4 linked regions of the Schizosaccharomyces pombe genome follow. The gene in region 4 interacts genetically with the main gene of each other region. Each region holds a gene or a part of one and is shown on either strand. Other genes may lie near its edges. The genes, in order: ppa2, myo2, cdc4 and mob1.

The links.
Region 1: of mob1 (region 4) and ppa2, a mutation in one rescues a mutant of the other (synthetic rescue), as found in Schizosaccharomyces pombe (one study listed by BioGRID).
Region 2: of mob1 (region 4) and myo2, changing one suppresses a phenotype caused by changing the other (phenotypic suppression), as found in Schizosaccharomyces pombe (one study listed by BioGRID).
Region 3: mutations in mob1 (region 4) and cdc4 impair growth when combined (synthetic growth defect), as found in Schizosaccharomyces pombe (one study listed by BioGRID).

The regions. Positions count from the first base shown.
Region 1 is NC_003423.3:2,285,111-2,291,033, reverse strand, and holds ppa2 (serine/threonine protein phosphatase PP2A catalytic subunit Ppa2), read right to left. Parts: upstream 4,083-5,923; 5' UTR 4,018-4,082; coding exon 3,877-4,017; exon of another isoform or gene 3,716-3,876; intron 3,585-3,715; coding exon 2,757-3,584; 3' UTR 1,663-2,756; coding exon of another isoform or gene 976-1,662; 3' UTR 589-975; downstream 1-588. Other genes in the region: protein gem8, read left to right, coding at 1-231; Rieske iron-sulfur protein, ubiquinol-cytochrome-c reductase complex subunit 5, Rip1, read left to right, coding at 976-1,662; SPOM_SPBC16H5.08C (ATP-binding cassette sub-family F protein), read right to left, coding at 4,689-5,923. UniProt on the Schizosaccharomyces pombe protein: Essential role in cell cycle control. PP2A may be involved in controlling the entry into mitosis, possibly acting as an inhibitor.
Region 2 is NC_003421.2:1,232,731-1,240,331, forward strand, and holds myo2 (myosin II heavy chain myo2), read right to left. Parts: upstream 5,507-7,601; 5' UTR 5,301-5,506; coding exon 720-5,300; 3' UTR 501-719; downstream 1-500. Other genes in the region: Smc5-6 complex non-SMC MAGE family subunit Nse3, read left to right, coding at 1-441; RhoGEF for Rho1, Rgf3, read right to left, coding at 6,655-7,601. UniProt on the Schizosaccharomyces pombe protein: Required for cell division. It is a component of the cdc12 'spot', a structure thought to mark the site of septation. May work in conjunction with myo3.
Region 3 is NC_003424.3:5,327,399-5,331,653, reverse strand, and holds cdc4 (myosin II light chain cdc4), read right to left. Parts: upstream 2,467-4,255; 5' UTR 2,437-2,466; coding exon 2,406-2,436; intron 2,354-2,405; coding exon 2,222-2,353; intron 2,149-2,221; coding exon 2,008-2,148; intron 1,942-2,007; coding exon 1,849-1,941; intron 1,777-1,848; coding exon 1,748-1,776; 3' UTR 1,136-1,747; coding exon of another isoform or gene 875-1,135; 3' UTR 830-874; downstream 1-829. Other genes in the region: serine/threonine protein phosphatase PP2A scaffold subunit Paa1, read left to right, coding at 1-274, 336-436, 492-829, 875-1,135; SPOM_SPAP8A3.07C (phospho-2-dehydro-3-deoxyheptonate aldolase), read left to right, coding at 3,545-3,553, 3,825-4,255. UniProt on the Schizosaccharomyces pombe protein: Involved in cytokinesis. Required for the formation and function of the contractile ring.
Region 4 is NC_003423.3:468,771-471,723, forward strand, and holds mob1 (Sid2-Mob1 kinase complex regulatory subunit Mob1), read right to left. Parts: upstream 1,394-2,953; 5' UTR 1,356-1,393; coding exon 1,181-1,355; intron 1,124-1,180; coding exon 724-1,123; intron 676-723; coding exon 618-675; downstream 1-617. Other genes in the region: SPOM_SPBC428.12C (peptidyl-prolyl cis-trans isomerase E), read right to left, coding at 29-59; mlg1 (1-acylglycerol-3-phosphate acyltransferase), read left to right, coding at 1,882-2,934. UniProt on the Schizosaccharomyces pombe protein: Has a role in promoting the onset of septum formation during the latter stages of mitosis.

The sequences.
Region 1 (5,923 bases), 1.8 Mb from region 4:
GAATTAAGACAAAAAGCACTGGACAAGGAGAGAATGGTTTCTTCCAAACCAGAAACCAACCCAAAAACACCAATCTCATTAAAAGAATTGAAAGATATCGAAATATATCAAAACCAGTTCCATTACTCGGCTTATGAAATTTTAGAGGAAGAAAAAATACTTGATAATATTTTTCGCAAGTTTACTGCATTACCTATCAAATATTGGCCGGCAACACCAATACGAGGATAGAACGTTTTATGAATTGATGATGTTCAATAGAGTAGAAAAATTTCCTGCATATTAATGAAGGATACGCTTAATATTCAATAAATGTCACCAATCTTCATGAATACATTATACATAAGTATATTGCATTTCTTCTACATTGAACTATGATTAATGATATATACCAATTCCTTAAAATAATTAAGGCTAGTGAAAGAATACGATAATTTTCAATCTAATACTGTTGTATTGTTTTATGCAGGTGCTGTACCTTGTAAAGTGATGAATGATACTACTGTAAACATCTAAATATTGGATAATATTATAATCTCCAAATAGTTTATAGCTGGACGGAAGAACGTAAATCCAGCTATGTTCTTATACGGAACCTAGTAAAATAGACTGGAAAATTATATCTGATAAAACAAAATGATCTCTAGCGTACCATAATATTGGAATTTGAAAGATATAGGATTTTCGATTCGTGATGATATATGTACTGCACAGTCTAGCACTATACTGTACTGATCGTTAAAAGTAGCTGTAAAATTATGTTAATTTTTTATTGTGTACTTCGTTATTTTTCGGAGAACTTCGGATATGTAGTTTCATCAATCGGTGAATTCGGTAAATACAACTAACCTTCTTAGCAAATCACAGCACCCACAAACGCCGCCATTTTTAAACCAGAGGCAGCTTGACGTTTCTTCCCCAACCGCTACCCACCGAATATTTCAACAACCTGTTTCTCTTTAAAACGTTGTAAAAATGCTGGCCAAGCAATTTATTTCTAAGTCGTTAGCATCTTCGTTAAGACGGTTGCTTCCCGTTTCAAGCACTGCTTCGTCGTTGAAGGGCTCAATGATGACCATCCCAAAATTTACCTCTATTCGTACATATACTGACTCTCCGGAAATGCCAGACTTTTCGGAGTATCAAACAAAGAGCACTGGTGATCGTTCTCGTGTTATATCTTATGCCATGGTAGGCACAATGGGTGCTCTTACAGCCGCTGGAGCTCAAGCTACTGTTCATGATTTCTTGGCGAGTTGGTCTGCATCTGCTGATGTGTTGGCTATGTCGAAGGCCGAGGTTGATTTGTCGAAAATTCCAGAGGGAAAGAACCTTGTCGTCAAATGGCAGGGTAAGCCTGTTTTTATCCGTCATCGTACTCCTGAAGAAATCCAAGAAGCCAATTCTGTAGATATTAGCACTCTTAGGGATCCTCAAGCGGACTCTGACCGTGTTCAAAAACCCGAGTGGCTTGTTATGATTGGTGTCTGTACTCATCTTGGTTGTGTACCCATTGGCGAAGCTGGTGACTATGGCGGATGGTTCTGCCCTTGTCACGGTTCTCATTATGATATCTCTGGTCGTATTCGCCGTGGTCCTGCACCTCTTAACTTGGCGATTCCTGCTTATACGTTTGAAGGAAGCAAAATTATCATCGGATAAAATTTATTTCGCTCAAAAACTTTTGTCCTAGCTGATTTCCTCCCTCCTTTTTCTCCCCTCTCTTTTACTTCTTCTTTAGCCTGTTGGGGATCAAGTCATATGCTGTCTTACTTGCTTCTTATTTTTATTTGTCCAATGCACTTTCTCATAGCCTTTGTTGGTCCATTTGGCTTATACAGCAGTCAAGATGGCAATTGCAGACTTCCTTTTTCTTGTTATAGTCATTTACTGATACAAACCCCCTTCTCATTCTCAATTAATGCAACCTTGAATCTCTTATTCCAAGACGTAAATCAATAATTTTGTATGTGACGCCTGATTCATGCAAGTCAGATGGTTCTTATTTTATCGTAGTCTAATGTAACTTTACTTTCCCTTTGGTGGTAGTTTCTTAAACCGCTAAAAATATATATAATCCTTGAGTACTCTTCTTGCCTTCAAGGTTTGTGAAATGCAAAAGTATCCCCTTATACTTGAATAAAAAAGTTGTACAATTCAAATATGTAGTTATTGTAGGTTTATCTGACAAGTATCAATAATAAATAAATATCTAGACAAATAAACCATTTTTTTTCTTTAAAAGTTCTTTATAGACAAACTTCTACAAATATGGAATCATGAAGCTGGCTTAAAAAGTTTGGTCATAAAGCTTTAGGATGTTTAATTCATTACAGCACATGACTGCTTAAGCATGCCTAATTCTAACTCATAATATTGTCTCAAAACAATACCATCCAACTATGCAGCAGTCGTTAATCGCTATCACGACATATTAAATAGCAGATATTTCTCGAAGAAATAAGTCCACAACCAAAAATCCTAGTGTGCTTATCAAAATTAACAAGAATATTTCACGTACGTATAAGACACGGTTGCAATGGCTTGAAGTGGAATACATATAAGGATTTTAAGATTTCCTTGCAAAAAAGGTACTTGACAAGTCCTGGAAATGAAAAGACAGTCTGAAGATTCGTATGCGGAGGATGTACAAAGTAGTCTTTTTAATCTTGAGTATTAACTCAAAAATCAGAAAGGTGGATAAATTTTTTGAAACAATCACAATCGATTGATCACTCATTAGAGAATTGAAACTTTTAAAGGAAGTAGTCTGGTGTCCTTCGAGCTATTACCGGTTCGCCTTCTCGTGGGGCAGGATCGAATTGTAAAAAGACTTGATTCATCGTATCATCAACTTCCAAAATAGCTGCTTGATTACCACAGCGATAACAATAATTTGGGGCAGAAAAAATTGTAACTACGTCTCCATCATGTGCCCAATTAAATCCTTCCATAACTAGCTGATGGGCTCGTGCCGTTAAACTTAATCCATTTGCGTGATTAAATGTCTCAGAAATGTCTTGTCCGAAGGTGTATCCGGCACCACGAGGAGAAATTCCCCAACCACATCTATCATCAGGGTCTGACCAAAGCAAATCACACATCGGACCTTCATGGGGAACTTCTTGTACACGATCCAAAGTCCGTACATGGTCTAATGAATCAATGCTCGGGGAAAGACCTCCATGTAGGCAGAAAATACGGTCTTCAATTAAAGCAGTTAAAGGGAAATAGTCAAATAAATTTGTGAAATGTTTCCAAACATTAGCGGATCCATATTTACGCAAACATTCATCATAAAATCCGTAAACTTGAGTGATTTGTCTAGATTCATGATTTCCTCGAAGAATCGTAATTCGGTTAGGGTAGCGTAACTTCATTGCAACAAGCAAACTTACAGTTTCGACGCTGTGATAACCTCTGTCAACATAGTCACCCATAAAAAGATAGTTCATATCAGGCACATCACCTCCAATTTTAAATAATTCCATCAGATCATGAAACTGTCCATGAATATCACCGCAAACAGTAACTGGATTTCGGACAGGTTGGACATTATTTTCCTGACATAAAACCTCACGAGCCTAGAAAAAATGGTTAGCAAAAACTGCGAAAACACGAAAAATGCTGGTATAGATGAGAGTCTCCGACGTAATTTTTAACCACCATATATTTATAGGATGAGATTTCTAGAAACCCGACATTAATGTAATATTAATCTTTTTAGAAATCAAACCGAAATAAGCTGGATAGTTCAAACTCAAACATATCAAACTGAACAATCTCAAGAAATCAAGAGAAAATGAGAACTTGCAAAGTTGGGATATATCCAACCAAGCCTGATACACATATATACTCTCCTTAGTGTTCACTTACCTTATCGCATAACATTTCAACGTCAGCTTCGCTCAGAGGCTCGCATTTTTTCAACTGTTCGATCCATCTGTCAACGTCTCCTAGAGTAGCGTCATTCGCCTCCGGAGCAAGCTTACTATCATTTGCTGGATCTATAGACATTAATTATGGAATTTTGTATATAGTAAAAAGCAAGTTATAAGTCTTTCTAACCGTGTGTTGCTTTTGGTAAGTTGAGACCGTTACAGAGGTGACAGGCTACTCTTGCGTATCATCAGCTTGCTAACAAGCTATGGCAAATCGACTTTATGTGTAAACAGCATAGCGATCTGGTATACAATTAATAATATAGAATATTTGCATTTCTTATTTATTGATTACTAACCTGGATTTTTCTCAACAGTTTGCGCTTACTATGTGAATTCACGAGATTGCTGTGTAGCGTTTTCTAAGGTACTAGAGAAATTACGAGCTCACTGGCATTTTTTAATAGAATGGGTTATTATTAGTCTTTTCGAGAAGAAGCGTACATAGTTTTCAAAACCGATGCTGTATAAAGTTTCACGCATAAATGCTGAGAAGTACAGTTTACCTATAGTCGGTGGAAAAAGATAATTCCACTCTAAATCGGACTTAACGACAATTCTTGAACAGTACACAGAGATGAAATTTTGGCTTAATAGCTTCACTCAATGATAGAGCTTGACAATTACAACGATGAGACCAAAAGCAATACGCTTCTTAAACACTTTCAAATAAGTAATAAACATTTTATATTAATCCCACTACTCAAAATGTATCACATATTCCCTAACCAAAAATCTATAAATTAACTAAATCAAATGCTTAACTTTGGCAGTAGTATCACGAGATTGAACTTCTTTGGCCATCGACTTCTTATATTCCTCAATGGAGCAGTCCAATTTCACAACCTTCTTGTCTTTAACTTCCCACAACTCTTTAGAAACTTGACCAATTAGACGGAAATCGTGAGAAACCAAAACAACACCACCAGTCCATACGTTAATGGCTTTGGCTAGGGCATCAATAGAGGTAATATCCAAGTGATTCGTAGGTTCATCAAGTAAAAGAATGTGGGGTTGTTCCAAAGCGAGTGCTGCAAACACAACACGGCTTTTCAAGCCATCAGATAAAGTACGGATTTCACTGGTTTGGTGAAGACCAGACAAACCGAATTTGCCCAAAACGCTGCGCCATTGCTGAAGTTCTCTCTCGGGAAATTTAGGCTTGTAAGTATCCATGATGTATTCAAGTGGAGACTTGTCATAGGGAAGCTGATCGGCACTGTGCTGAGAGTATTTAGCCATCTTCAATCCACTGTAACGAGAGACATTGCCTTCAATGGGAATCAAAAGCCCAGTGATTAAGTTCAACAATGTAGACTTTCCGGTACCATTTTTACCCACAATGGCGACACGGGAGTCCATATCGATACCAAAGGACAAGTCACGGTACAAAGCGTGATCAAGATTACCATCATAAGAGAAAGCAACGTCGTTAAAAGCAATGATAGGTGGTGGTAATTTGCGAACTTCATCAAATTCAAAGCTGAATTGACGAGGAGGTTCGGGCTTCTCAACTAAACCGGCAGCCTCCATTTTATCGATAATCTTTTGTTTCGACTTGGCTTGGCGTACCAAGTTTGCATAGGTACCAGCACTAGCAATAAACTTTTTAATATGAGCAATTTCCTCTTGCTGTTTTAAGTAAGCCTTCATCTGATTGGTTTCATTTTCTTCCTTAGTACGCATATAAATGTCGAAATTACCACCATAGTAGACAAGCTGCTTTTTAGAAGTTAAATCAATAATATTGGTACAGACGTTGTTGAGGAAATCTTGAGAGTGGGAAGTGACAACAAGAATTTTGTCGTATTTCGCTAAGTAATTCTCCAACCAAACAACGGCTTCTAAGTCCAAATGGTTGGTAGGTTCGTCCAAAAGAAGCAAAGAGGGTTTGATGAAAAGAGCACGAGAAAGTGCAACACGCATACGCCAACCACCAGACATGTCCTTTGTGGGTTTGGCCATCATTTCCTGGGTAAATC
Region 2 (7,601 bases), on a different chromosome or scaffold from region 4:
TGGGTGTTGAGGTCTACCCTTCCTATGGAACTTCAAAAGGATTCTCGCTTAATTGTAGATTCGGTATTGGATACTGCTTATTATGGATTTTTGATGACTGTGATCGCATTCATAGCCGTTTCTCATTGCAGTGTAGGACATTCAGAACTGCAATCTTTTTTGCAGGAACTTCTAACAGAGGAAGAAACAACCCCTTTGCATCTGGATATTACTCGCTCGTTATCTCTTTTAGTTCGCCAAGGGTATTTAGATAGAGTGAAAGATGATACCCATAACCAGTTTGTTTATTATATTGGATCCCGTGCAGTAACTGAAATTTCTATTGAAGGCTTGAAATCATTCGTTACAGAGTTCTTTCCGGATTCAGACATTGATATGGATGCTCTATTAACCGAATATCGGCAGGAGTATCAGAATCAATCTTCCTCAAGTGCAGCATAGATGACTCTTAGGTTTTTACATTATGCTCGTCTCATGTTAATGCTATTGTATACTTACTCCGCTACTACAAAAAAATTCGTAATATTATTTAAGTTCCTATATGCGTGCTAATATCTCGATATAAATTTAAGATGTATATTTGGTTATATAGCGGGAATATTATGTACAGCTGTTAAATAAAAAAAATAAAAAAATAGCTCGTAAACTTATAAGAGAAGTATATGTCAGTATATATAATATAATTAATAAAGGTTTCATCATTACAAAATCATTTAACTTCATGCGGCGCGCAACTCATCTTCAAGGCTTGCAATGCGATCTCGTAAAGCTCTCACATCTATTAACGAATCTTTGTTCACTTTTTCCAAAGAAGCAATTCGTTTTTGTAACTCCTGCTCACGTTTTTCATATTGTACTTGAACGGAAAACATTTTTGCCTTTTCGCTATTTATTTGATCCTTCAGAGCTTTCAATTCAATAGCATGAGCCAAGTTGACATGTTGCAAAGATTGGCCAGTAGGTTGAGGTGATACTTCGGCCCCTTTTAACTCATTAACTTGCTTCTCTAAGTTGTGCTTCTCAAGATTAAGACGGTCGTAGTCTCGTTTCAAGTTCTCGTATAACGCTTGATTTGCATTTCTTTGCTGTAAATCAAAAATTGTCTTTCGTTGTGGAATATTTTTCAAAACGGGTTCCGTAGTTTTGACAGCCGGTATATTATTCTCCTTTCCGGACGGTCTATGTTCTTTAAGGCGATGTATCTCTGCCTCTCGCTTCTTGCAGGAATCAAGAGCAGAATTCAGTTCCTTTCGAGTATCAACCAGCTTCATTTCTACTTCTGAAAGCTTACTACGTATACTTTCATGATCAGCAACTTTGTTCCTTAAAAGGGTGACTTCCGAACGGAGGCTTCTAGTTGTTTTTACTTCTTCTAGTACCTTTTGATACTCAACTTCAAGCTTTCGTTTACTCTCCAACTCTGATTTCAAAGAGCGTAATTCTTCGTTATCTCGACTAGCTATCAATGCTTTACGCTTTTCATCTTCAAAGGTCTTACCGAGTTGACTGTACTCGTGCATTAAGTTAGTAATCTTCCTCTCAAGTTCGGGAACCTTAGATGCTTTTGGAGAAAGTTCATTTACTTGCTTCGTCAAACTCGATACCTTATTAGAGAGATCTTTATTCTCGGAGCTCGCCAACGAAAGCTTTTCCTTGTAGGACGCCGATTGCCGAAGAAGACTTTCATGATTAAAGGTCAAATCACGATGTTTTTTCGAAAGTTCCTGAAAGTTTGTATCGACGTCTTTTAACCCCTCCAAGTCCAGCTGAAGTCCTTCATATTTTTTCTTGTAATTCTCCAAGTCGCTAACTTTAAGAAGTAAATTCTCATGGATTTCTTGCAATTCAATGTACTTTAAAGAAGCATCTGACAAATTTTGGCATTTCTCTTCCTTATTTTCAAGCTCTTTCGTTAACGATTTGATGTTATTTAAACATTCTTTAACTTTGGCTTCCAGTTCTTTATTTTTGGTAGCCTGGAGCTGATAAAGTTGATCTTTGTCATTCAAGGATTCTAGTTCTTTCTTCAATTTCGGAAGCTGTTTGACATCGGCTTCCAAATAATTAACCTTCTCTTCTAAGTTATTTATTGTTAACTCTTGCACTCCTTTCAAGACGCTTAACTCTTCTTTCTGCTGTTTTAAAATAGAGACGTCGCTTATAAGAGTAGAATTTTCACGTTCTAATTTTTTGACTCGTTTGAGACTCTCAGATAAAGAACCTTCCTGCTGAATACTCTTTTCATTCATCTTCTGATTTGTCAGTCTCATTTCTTGAATTTCAGTTTTATAGTCAGAAATATATTTAGTGAGTTTATCAAGTTCAGCATCCTTGGTAACGATAGTTTCCTGTAAACTTTTACATTGTTCATTGAACTCTGCTTTTTCTGATAAAACAGTTGCATTGTTCTCACGTAAAGACTCAAGTTCTCCCTTTGTATCTAGCAAATCCTTCTCTTCCAAACTCAGTTTTTCTTTCAGTTCGTTCTGTTCTGATAACAAAGTCTCAACCTTGGAAGTTTTTTCTAGTAACTCACTTTCTAATTCGTTATTAATCTGTTTCAATGACGCTGACTCTCGTTGCAAATTTTCATTTTGCTGTTTTGTTTCGCTAAACGAATCTTCTATGTTTGCAAGCCTTTCCTGTGTTCGACGTAATATTTCCTCCTTATCAAGGGCTATCGCACGTTCAGTAGTAAGCAAATTTTCAACAGCAGTTAAAGAATTGTTGGTCTCGACGAGATCACGCTCTACCTCAGATTTTGAATTCTGTTGTTTTTTCAGCTCGTACTTCAGCTCTATGATTTCAGCATCTCGCTTTTTAAGCTGCTTATCATTTTGAGTACTACTTAATAAGGGCCTTAGATTGAAAAATAACTTAGCCCAAGGAAAAGTTCTAAATTCATTGTACACTTGCAAATTTGCTTGTAGTAATTTGATGGCTTGTATGTCCTTCAATCGCTTTTGAAAAATTTTTCTTTGAAGAAAGCCACGGATCCTTGTTTGTAGCATAGTCATCAGTCTTTGTAAAGTCGCTACGCGCCTCTCCTCTAATTCTGCTAAAACACCTGCTTTGAAAAATATTTTTGAAACACCAATTCGATAAGATGCTTCGTCAATTTTCAACTCCTCCAAAATCATGACAGAAGCACGTCGAGATTCCACATAGGTACCTGTTGGTAAATGCGCCATTATCTCATATCTGACTCTAAAATCATTAAATGGTAAACGGTTAGGAAAACCAGCCCTTGTGATTCTGATTCCTTCCAAAACACCATTACATCGAAGTTGTCCTAAAACGAGGGGTCTATTAAAGGTGTGCATTTTCTTTTCTTCGTTTGGAACAATACAACGAATAAAGTGAGGTTGGGTCGAGTTAAATTGATTCATAAGCTGATTGAGCTGCTCTTTATGCCTTTGAGCAACAGTTCGAAAAAGGCCCTTTTTCGTCCTTCCCCTAACAGTTTTAGTCTCAGTTTCCTGATAATCAGAAAATAGTGTAGCGACATGCTTGTTAGTAGATTGCGCAAGCAACTTAGCAACGTTTTCATTCAAAGGATCGGTGTTCTTCTCCAGCCAACCTTCTGTACTGTAAGGAACATCAGCGGCATAATGAGTCAAAATAAAACCTTGATCGGCAAACTTAAAAGGTTTATATTTTAGCGACTTGTTCCTCCAAAGAGCATCAAGTTTAGAAGTAAACGTAGCATCAGTTGCTTTCGGCATAACACATTCTTCATCCAAACATGAAAGAATACCTATTGGGTTTGCTTTCTCGATTAAATCAATAGTCGGCTGTAAATCATGTCCAAAATCAATGAAATCCCATACAATTTCTTCTTTCATATATTCTTCTTGCTCCAATACGAACATGTGATGGTTAAAGAATTGTTGCAACTTTTCATTTGTGTAATTAATGCAAAGTTGTTCAAAACTGTTTTTCTCAAAGATTTCGAAACCGGCGATATCTAAAATACCAATAAAGTAGCTTTGGGCATTGGAATGGTTCAAGGAAGTGTTAAGTCGCTTTACCAGCCATCCAAAATTCCTTTCGTATATGGCTTTTGCTAATGCTTCAATGGACGAAATGACTTGAGTTTGACTTCGAGCGCTGATAACCCATTCATGGCCTGCTTTAATACGAGGTCGAACAAGATTTTGTGAAAATAACTCCGGAGACACACCAAGCAAATGACAGAGCTTGTCAATCTCATCAGGATTGAGAAGACGAGCTATACCAGAGCGATCAGCACCGACATCAATATTTCCCATATGTAGAATAATGGAAAGTATATTAAATAAATCAAAGTTCTCTTTATCGTCAAATCCAAGAGTTTTAAAAGCAGCTAAAAGAGTTTTAAACTCTTCTTTATCGTCAACTCCATCAATAATGTGAACCGAATCCTTCAAATATCGATAATCATTACAGTTATCGGTTAAAAGAAGTTTGTTCTTGAGAGCAGTATCAGCACCACTTAAAAGCTGATAAAAAACATGGTAGTTTCTTTCAAACTCGTTCTGATGAACAACGCGAGATTTTTCAAGAAGATACCATTCTATGGCGGCATTCGAAATTTCCCCACTCAAAGAAAACTCAACTTTAATGAATTTTCCAAAACGAGAAGAATTGTTGTTGCGTACGGTACGAGCATTACCAAATGATTCGAGCACAGGATTCGTTTTAATGATCTGCTCTTCAACCTGACTAGAGCCAACGGTAGTCGAGCTAGCAATTGCTGCAAGATATTGGATGATTCTTTTGGTATTCTCTGTTTTACCTGCGCCGGACTCACCAGTTACAAGAATCGATTGATTTTCCTTATTTTCTAAAAGGTTATTGTATGCTAAATCCGCGATTGCGAAGACATGAGGTAGCTTGCGCTCTTGTGTTTTATCTTTGTACAATTGAATGATGTCCTTCGTATAGATTGGTAGTCCACAATAAGGATTGACCGCAACGAGAAAGAGCCCAGAATAGGTATAAATTTGATCAGAGAGATATCTCTGTTCAAGATTGTATGTGACTGCAGGCTCGTTTAAGTATGTCAACTCAGCCATGTCATTGACTCTATCAAACTTGGCAGGATTCACCGGATCAATTTCATCCTCACCAACGATCTTCTCATCCCTGGAATTATTATACCGAACAACATATTTCTTGTCTGGCAGATCCTCTTTAATCCAAGCCTTGGTAAAGGCAGTCTCTGGGTCGGAAATCCAAACCCATCGTTTATCATCAATATCCTTCAGACTAGTTGCACCATCTTTTGCAGTTATTTTATTAGATATTACTTCTGTCATCGGGCTACTCTCTAAGACGGTTATTTACCGCCTTTCCTGAAAATAAACAATGCGGTGTACAATACCAAAACCTTGTAAAACAATAAGGATAGACCAAAAATCAAAGAGTGAAAAAATCCAAAAAGATAGCAATAGATATATCCGAAAAGAAGGATCAACAAATGCACAGAGAAAACGTTAAAGAACTATGTTGTTGGATACTTTTTGTACTCCCCGTTGAACGCACAGCAATTAATGATTTAAGCACTTGAACATTCGATTAACGCATGCGTTAATCGAACGTTTATGTACTTGATCATATTTGCGTTAAAACATTTAGTATAGGTTAAGGTAGCATCCAGAAACATTCCTATAACATAATGATTTTAATATCACAATTAAGAAGGTATATATATCTTTTAAAAGAAATAATATTAATAGATGGAGGTCATTATATACTCGGTCTTTTGCAATTAAAGTCCTGACAAATTTTTAAAGCTTTACTTTCATCAAGATTGAAGATATTAAGTAATAATTGAAAATACATTGTACTAATACTCAAAACATCAAATGAACGTAGGATTAGGGGTTACGGTTTAATCGAAATTTCATGTTCCCCCGTGCTTTTAGGTAAAATGATTGTATAAAAAACTCCCGCTATTACAGATATATGAGTAATTTGTGACTAGATACGCAAATAATATGTTCCTCATCGTACCGAACACAACTTTTAAAGCAAATAACTAAACTCGGCATTTATTTATCTACATTTTATATATAGCACTCTAATCATGCCTCTTACTGAATAATTATAAGAACACGCTCTAGCTAATAATCGCAATCAGTAATTATTATGTGCTTACTGACCATCTACAGCTATGGCCCTGGTAATAATCAATAAGTAAATATACAGAAATGTTAGTTGCTTCAGTTAGTGTTTGAAAGAAAGCATGGTGCTTCAATGTGTAACCACATCTTTAAACTTATGATCAAAACATGCAGAATACCATAACCAGTTACGTAAAAAAACAACAATGTTCTCTGTTTTCATCAACTGTAGTCGGCAAGTTTATGCAACTTGTACAATAAGCCAATTTTGGCTTAACACTGAACATAATGATAGTAGCGATCATTTTAAGTAATTAAAAAATGTTAATGCATGCAGATTTTAATATTCCTTTGTGATAAAATGGGTAGGGAAATGTAAAAAAAAAAAAAAAGAAGAAATAAAATTTCAAGGCTGCGATAAAATATGATTCGAAAGATGCAGGATGTTCCGTAAAACAAAATAAGATAAACGTTTCCGATATTCAAAAGTATGGATGAGTAAAAAAGACAATCATGGCAAGAAAACTTGTAATAAATATGATAATTATCAATCTTCAATTATGAAGGAGTTTGTTTTTGCCTTATTTAAAGCGAGTATCAAATGGCGATCGTGATACTGAGGATGAACCATGCCAAACATTATATATTTCCCATTGGCTAGCCAATCACTGTTACTAGGGTAGTATTTAATGTCATTTCCTTGGATAATTTGATTAAGTTTCCTAGTTCGCGTGTTCCATATTTCGACAAATTCATCATTAAATGCAATGAGATATCCATGACAGCTGGTAACAGAGTTCGGTTTGCCAATCCAATCAAACCAACACTCTTTATTAACCATACTACCCTCTCCATTGACAAACACGGCACCGAATTGATAGCAGCATGCAAATAAGCTAGGATCGTGGATGCGAAAGACGCCAAGCGGCTTACTGTTGTTGATTCGGTTCCGAAACAACGTATCATTAAGCACTGAAGGGCTTGGAAAACCAACTGCTAATTTAGGGTCCAAACGCAGAACGTCAATGCCTTTATTGTGACAAAGAGCAATTGAATACTTAAAGCAATCAATTGAATGACAGTTAGCCGTTACGTGAAAATCATCCAGAGTTCTGAAGGAAGTAACATCTTTTCTCTTGAAGGCATATGTTTTCTGATAGTTATGTCCTAAGCCGATCACTGGTTCACAGCAAATTATGGTTGTAGTATTACCGAGTCCCTCTTTATAAAAAACCAAAGTTCGCTCACGTTTAACAGAAGCCCCCTCAGACAATTTACCTATTTTAAAGAATGATACGGCATGCGGAGTTCCAATGACAACTGCAATTTTGGATTCGATCAGACCCATTTCAATAATACGACTTAATTTATGAGCATAAAGGGTTTTGTCACGTAGCTCTAATAGGATATCAAATTCCTCAACAACTCCAAGCTGGGTAACGCGTCTTTGACTAGAGATCTTTTTCCAATCGCGAATGTCACTGGAATCACCAA
Region 3 (4,255 bases), on a different chromosome or scaffold from region 4:
CTAATTTTGTAAAACTTGCTAAAGTAGTTGGACCATCTCTTATTAAAGATGAACTTATTAAACCATTCGTACTGCTCATGAAGGATACCGAGCAGGAAGTCCGCCGTGCTATTGCTACTCAAATACCAGGATTTTGCGAATTGTTGGATAAGCGAATTGTTCTTGAAGAGATTATTCCAGTTATTCAAGAGTTAATTAATGATCCCGCTCAACATGTCCGTGCTGCTTTAGGGATGAACATAGGTGCTCTCGCCCCACAATTAGGAAAGGAAAAGTATGTCTGCTAAAAATAACTTTTCTTTTAAAAACCTCATTTTACTAATCGTTATATTTAGGACTACAGAGTATCTTTTACCAATGTTTTTGGAATTACTTAAAGATGAAAACCCTGAAGTTCGTCTTAACATTATTTCGAAATTGGAAGTTGTAAACAAAGGTAAATTGCAAATTCAAAATATAGCTATTGCTACAGTTATACTAACTCACTTTAGTCGTTGGTATCGAATTACTTTCACAATCTTTATTGCCTGCAATTGTTACACTTGCTGAAGATAAACAATGGCGTGTTCGTCTTGCTATCATTGACTACATTCCACTACTTGCTCAGCAGCTTGGGGTCGAATTTTTTAATGAGAAAATGGGCAATTTATGTATGTCATGGTTAGAGGACCATGTATATTCTATTCGTGAAGCTGCGATAAAGAATTTGCGAAAACTTACGGAAATTTTTGGGTTGGAATGGGCAACTGAGACAATTATTCCAAAGTTTTTGGCTATGCGAAGCCATCCAAATTATTTATACCGAATGACAACTATTTTTGCGATCAGTGTAAGTTTTTCTTTTTTGCTTTTTTCCAGTTCTAACGTATTTTAGGAAATCGCACCTGCATTGAATGCTGAAGTAATTGAAAAACAAATTCTTCCAACTTTGGAACAGTTGGTTAATGACCCTATTCCTAATATTCGCTTTAACGTTGCCAAGGCGTTTGAAGTTCTTAAGCCTGTTTTGGCAGCTGGTGGTGACTCGACCGTATATGAACAGCAAATCATCCCATTGCTCGAACAACTTACAAAAGATAATGACCCTGATGTTCAATATTTTGCTACTCAGGCCTTAGAGCAAACAAATGACTAATTGTTGGGTTATATGATTGCATGTCTAAATGAGCCAAAAGTTTTACCTTTATGATTTGTGTTCACTATGTAAAAATGCAAAAGAATGGACTGTCTTGACTCTGGCCATTCGTTCGACATCAAGTGTCAAGCCCTACATCTAATTCAAAGCATCGTATTGACACACAGTAAATTAGATATACAAGATATACACGATATGGCAAAATTGGAGCCGAATGCATCAAGAAAGCTGGCATCAACCGTAATTACTTACGAAAAGTGTAATTTTGAATGAAAACTTATATTTACATCTGGAGAGATTCAAACAATTTAAGCAGCTGAGATATAAGGTCATTTGCATGAGATAACAAATGGTTGTTAATCATATTCATAAATATACGAATATAGAAGGATATCTCTATTTCCGTATGCTAAACGATATGTGTAGAAATTCCTGCGAGTATCGAAAAGTCCAGTTATCTGTATTCAGGAACATATTGCTTCATAGTCCCAAGTGTATCAGATGGAAAAGCTGAACGAAAGTAAACTATTGAAGACATAAAATTGAAATAAAGGTGTAAATAATAAAGGAGAAACATATGCCGGGTAAATTATGCAAACTATGTAGATTTAATTAATTGGCAAGAATCATTTGAACGAAATCTAAAGGAAGCAGTTAGTATAATTAAGTATAGGTAGTTGATTGCCGAAGCCCAGAGTAGTAATAGAGCATACCGTGATAATTAACCATGCCATCTTTTACGGGAACACCCTTTAATAACTCGTCCATTTCTTCGTTGCTGAGTTTTTCACCCAAAGAAGTTAAAACTGATACAATTAGTTTCGCATTTTTTTATCAATCTGAAAAAAGGATAGATCTCTATAAATACATACCATAGCGCAATTCACCCACTCCAATCATGCCAGTGGCATCTTTATCAAACACCTGGAAGCCCTTCACGAATTCCTCTGGGTCACCAGGCATATCAAACCCATTGGGACGATTTAACACTTGAAGGAATTGTTCCATATCGACTACCAATTAGTATTGTCACTTAATGCACGGCTAAGGAGTATAACTCTCCAAACCCATAACAAGAAATCATACCTTCTGCGGGCAAAGTAGATTCAATTTCAGTAATCTCAGCCAGCGTAGGATTTTGTCCACACGCTCTTAAAAGATCACCAATGGACGTTTTGGGGATGCGACCAGTTCCATGGCGGTCAAATAAAGAAAAAGCTATCTTTTCGTTAATAAACATTTTGAAATGATTTCAAAAAGTAGTTATTACCTTGTTTATAAGGTGAATCGTCTGTCGACATGTTTGACTATTCTAAATGGATTGTTAGGATGAAGGTAAGTGTACTAAGTCGACTGTAATCTGTGTACACGCACCTATAAGCCCCATAGCAACCGTTGCCATGATAATGTTTACTGTATAGCGATCTGTTTAGTAATTTACTAAAGAACGTAGAGCTATGTAAACCAGCTTATATGAACAGAATTGTCATTTACTTTGCCAGATTTTAATTTAGAACATCATTCGTATACAGAATATGAATAGTCATACTAATGTCGAGCTACTTGATAAATTATGAAATGGCTGGCGATTTCACTATTTCTAGTGCAATACAAAATACGAGAGTCACCGGAACACGAGAAATACAGTACTGATGCACTTCATAAATTCAATAATCACATCAGAATATCAGATATCATTAACTTGTTAACCTCAAAAGACTAATCTACCGGAAAGCCAACGCTGTCCACCAGACTTCTAATTTTCGGCGTTTGTGTACCAAAAAGGCAGTCACAGATGGTATATCTAAATTTTCGGGCTCACAAAATATGCATTGAGTAAAAGTAAAATAAACGAATCAATATGTTTTTATATGTTGCTTTAATGCGTGGTTTATATAATTGAGCGAATCTTGGAAATAAGTATTTTGATAAGCAATGTATATATTCTCATATCCCAGTGGTACATGACAGTAAACATTGTAGGAAACGTAATTATTAAATATTATATATCAATCCCTTTTAACATTAATTTATGAATTAATAAGAAACCGAAAAAAGGCTTTATTTTATGTTTTTACGCTCAACCTTCAATTTACTTTCAAGTAATTAAATAGCAAGTGAAATCTAGAAATTGATACAAAACAAAGGACTTATAAATTTGAACAAATTTTTAAGCGATGATGTCCAGAAATTGCCTACTACTTGTTTCGCAGTTCCGATGACTTAGAGCCATTATCACTGGATCATCTTATTACTGGACTACATATATTTTTCGTTGGCGCTGCTTCGAACTCAGACAGAACCAACCTTCGTCGTAGTAAAGGACCTTTAATAGTGTTTACTTACTTGGCATTCAACAACTTAGGAAGCACTCTTTGACCTAAATTTATTAATTCTATTTAATAAGCCATGTCTCCGGTAAGTAACCCCAATTGGGCATCCAAAGAATTTTGCTAGTAAAAATTTTCATCAGTCGGAGAAACAGTACTGAAAGTTATCTTATTGAGTTATATAGTAGATTTTACTATGCGGATAACAAATTTGTTTTTGCTGATGAATTTTTAGGCAATTGAAATTTTAAATTTTTTTGTTTCTTTTTTTTGAAATTTTTATTGCTTTATGTTGATTGCTATGTCCAGCATGTTTGGTCTTTTTTTTTAATGTCAATTTGCTAACATTATTCAATTAGGTTTTTTTACCCAGCGGTGAAACTTACGATCAAGAGCATCTTGATGACAACCGTGTCTTAGGTTACAACCCTTTGGTTCCTGCCGCTTTGGTTCAACAAGAGATTCCTGTTTCTGAAACTTCTCGCAAAGTCATCACTGACTCCAGAAAGGAGATTCAAGCTATTCTCAACAAACAAGATGACAGAATTATCGTTGTTGTCGGTCCTTGCTCCATTCATGACCCTAAATTGGCCATGGACTATGCTAAGTTGCTGAAGCCCAAAGCTGACGAGCTTCAGGATGCTTTGTGCGTTGTCATGCGTTGTTATTTGGAGAAGCCCCGTACTACTATCGGATGGAAGGGTTTGGTCAACGACCCTAACTTGGATGGTTCTTTTGCTATCAACAAGGGTATTAGGATGGCTCGTCAAATGTATTGCGACGTTACCAA
Region 4 (2,953 bases):
TAACAACGATGAATTCATTGATCCTTACCCACATGGACGGTTGCTTTCCTTCTTTCCATCCTCAGATCATCAAAACTAAAAAAAAAAAATAAGATGAAAAGCAAAAAGACTAAAATAATAGGGAATTAAAAAGTTCAGATTATTTCGCACATTTACTATCTCACATCCACCACCATTCAGTAAGTAGTTTCTCAAATAACGATGCAGTCTTTTTCGGTATTTAACAGAAACCTGAAATAAAGATTCCAGAGACATATGATACATGAAATGTTATAAATAAAATGAATTGTATGAAGATAGACACTTTAGAGAATGCGAGAATATTTTGCACAAGTAGCCTATGCAAAGGCGATATGCCACACTTTTCAAAAGTAGTTAAAAGAATGCAGTGTCATAAGAAAAAAGTGGAGGAGTAGAAAGAGTAATTTTAGCAACTATTCTTTATGGTAATCACTCAAGTGAATGATTGAAATGAAAAGAAGAAATTTTCCATAAAAAATTGTGCTAAGGTCTGGATAAAATGGTAATGGTAGGGATAAAATAAAACATTAAATTGGTAAGTTTGGGAACCGAGTTTACCTCCCATTTCCTGTTCCTGAATAACTACAAAACTGTTCTTAAACCATGCTATCTACCAAGTCTTGCATTGGTGCATATTCCTTGTTATCCATAAGGCTGAAATTTGTTGTTAACATCTTTAAGTAAGTAAATTGAAACACATACCCAAATTCCCTACAGAAAAATACAAAGTGTTTAAATGATGTATTCAGATAGCTTTCAAGCTCCATTGCTACCATTACGTGAAAGTGGGAACAGTAAATATGAGCATAAATGCGAAACAACCTTCGAAATATTTGCTGAATCACTTTGCGAAAATTCTTTGGGAATTCAACACCAATCTCAGTGGGGAAGAGCTTCTTGTCATCCAACTTTTCTTGAGTCCAATCCAACAGATTGTTAATATAGTCGGGAGCACTCATGCGAGTGGGTTTGGTGTATATTTTATCATCCTGCCAGTAATATTCATAACTTGGTCCAGCATTCATTTGAGGACAGGAAGCCGCCGTACAAAATTCAGTGATTGTACCATACAACATATTAATTTGTGTATAAAAATCCATTGCTAGAAGTATTCAATTAATAAAAGTTCTTGAAGTGTCAATTTTATATCTTAGCTTACTGTTCATAGCAATCCATTCATTCAAATCTTCTCCCTTGGGCAGTTTTACTGCTTCCATCAAAGAGCCAGATCCCAGCGTTGCTTCAGCATATTGCCGTAGTTGATAATGCTTCGTTCCCGCTTCAGTCTTCCTTACACGGAATGTCTTCGCTGTCTTATTACTAAATCCAAACATGAAAGAAAATGCAAAAAAGTTGGTATGAGTTGGGTTCTGGTAGGCTTGGTTTGTGCCAACCTTCCACTCATCGTCCCTTCCTCGTAAACAAACGTGGTCATTCTACCGTTCAACTTTCAAGACCATCCAGCCAACCAATATTAAGCGCAAATTAATTACTGGAATACCTATCATATTCATACGACCGTATGTTTAGGTCCGAGCACTTTTACAAATTGACAACGTACGATCGCTACTTCTTTACCCACTGCCTATAACCACTGACATTCCCTGAATTACACTTTGGTGCTAAACGTGCGGCTAAGAAATTAAAAAGAAAGCAGAGAGCTTTTAATTTTCTTTTTGGGATTTTTTTTGCTCAAATTGGTGTCTATTTAGTGTTCGTGTACGACTTTTACTGTGCGGTGAGAAACGCGAAAGGGCATCACTAAAACCGACTTTGCTAACTTTCTCTGGATTCTATTTAACAGTCTTTTATTTCTTGAGATTTGATTTAGGTTCCTTTAATTCATTTAGGTTTGACAACATGACATGCAGAATTGCGATTCGCAAGTATTCATTCATATTATGTTTGGCTGTTGGTTCAGTTACCATTTATACCTCGGAAGTTATTGGAACTCCTCTGTATTTTGTCAACAAGGAGCTTTATAACAAATATATTGCTTTTACAAAATCATTCGCCGGTATTCTGTTTACCGCTTTGGTCCAGCTTTTTAGTCCGACTCCTGTAACTCTCACCTATGATCCCGAGCTTCGAAATTTGTTTTATTTGGATAGAAATGGTTGCTTGGAAACAATTGCTGCTGAACGCAACATAGTTATCGCAAACCATCAACTTTACTCGGACTGGATGTACGTTTGGTGGTTATCGTACACTGCTAAACAGCATGGTCATGTTTATATTATGTTAAAAAACTCTCTCAAATGGTTGCCAGTTATAGGTTGGGGTATGCAATTGTTTAGATTCATTTTCCTTTCTCGCAAATGGGACAAAGACTACGAGACTATGTCTCGTCATTTCAAGTTCATTCGCAATGTACGTGATTCCGTCAGTCTCATTCTCTTCCCAGAAGGAACCAACTTGGTTGAAAGCACATATCAAAGGAGCAGGGTGTATGCCGATAAAATTGGAGTCAAAATGCCAAAGCATTTAATGCTCCCACGTGTGCGAGGGCTCTTTTATAGTATCAGTCAGCTTCGTGATTCGATGACTTATTTGTACGATTACACATTTTATTTTTCTGATCCCTCTCCTAAGAAATATGCCGCCGATGCTTTCTCTTTACCTAAGCTCTTTTTTGAAGGAGTCCCCATCAAAAGGCTTCATATTCACGTTCGTCGCTTCCCAATTTCGGAAATTCCCACTGAAGAAGATCAGTTTACGGATTGGCTTTATCAAAGATGGTATGAGAAAGATAAACTTATCGATACGCTTCTTGAAACAGGGAATTTTCCGGGCCCTAAGAAATTGCATACGACTGTTCGATTGAAGCACAGACTTGAAATTCTTTCTTTGTTTTCCGTACTTTTCACGTGCATTGTTGCTGGGTTGTTCCTCAAACTATTCATTTCTCACTAGAAAAAACTGTTATTTATAC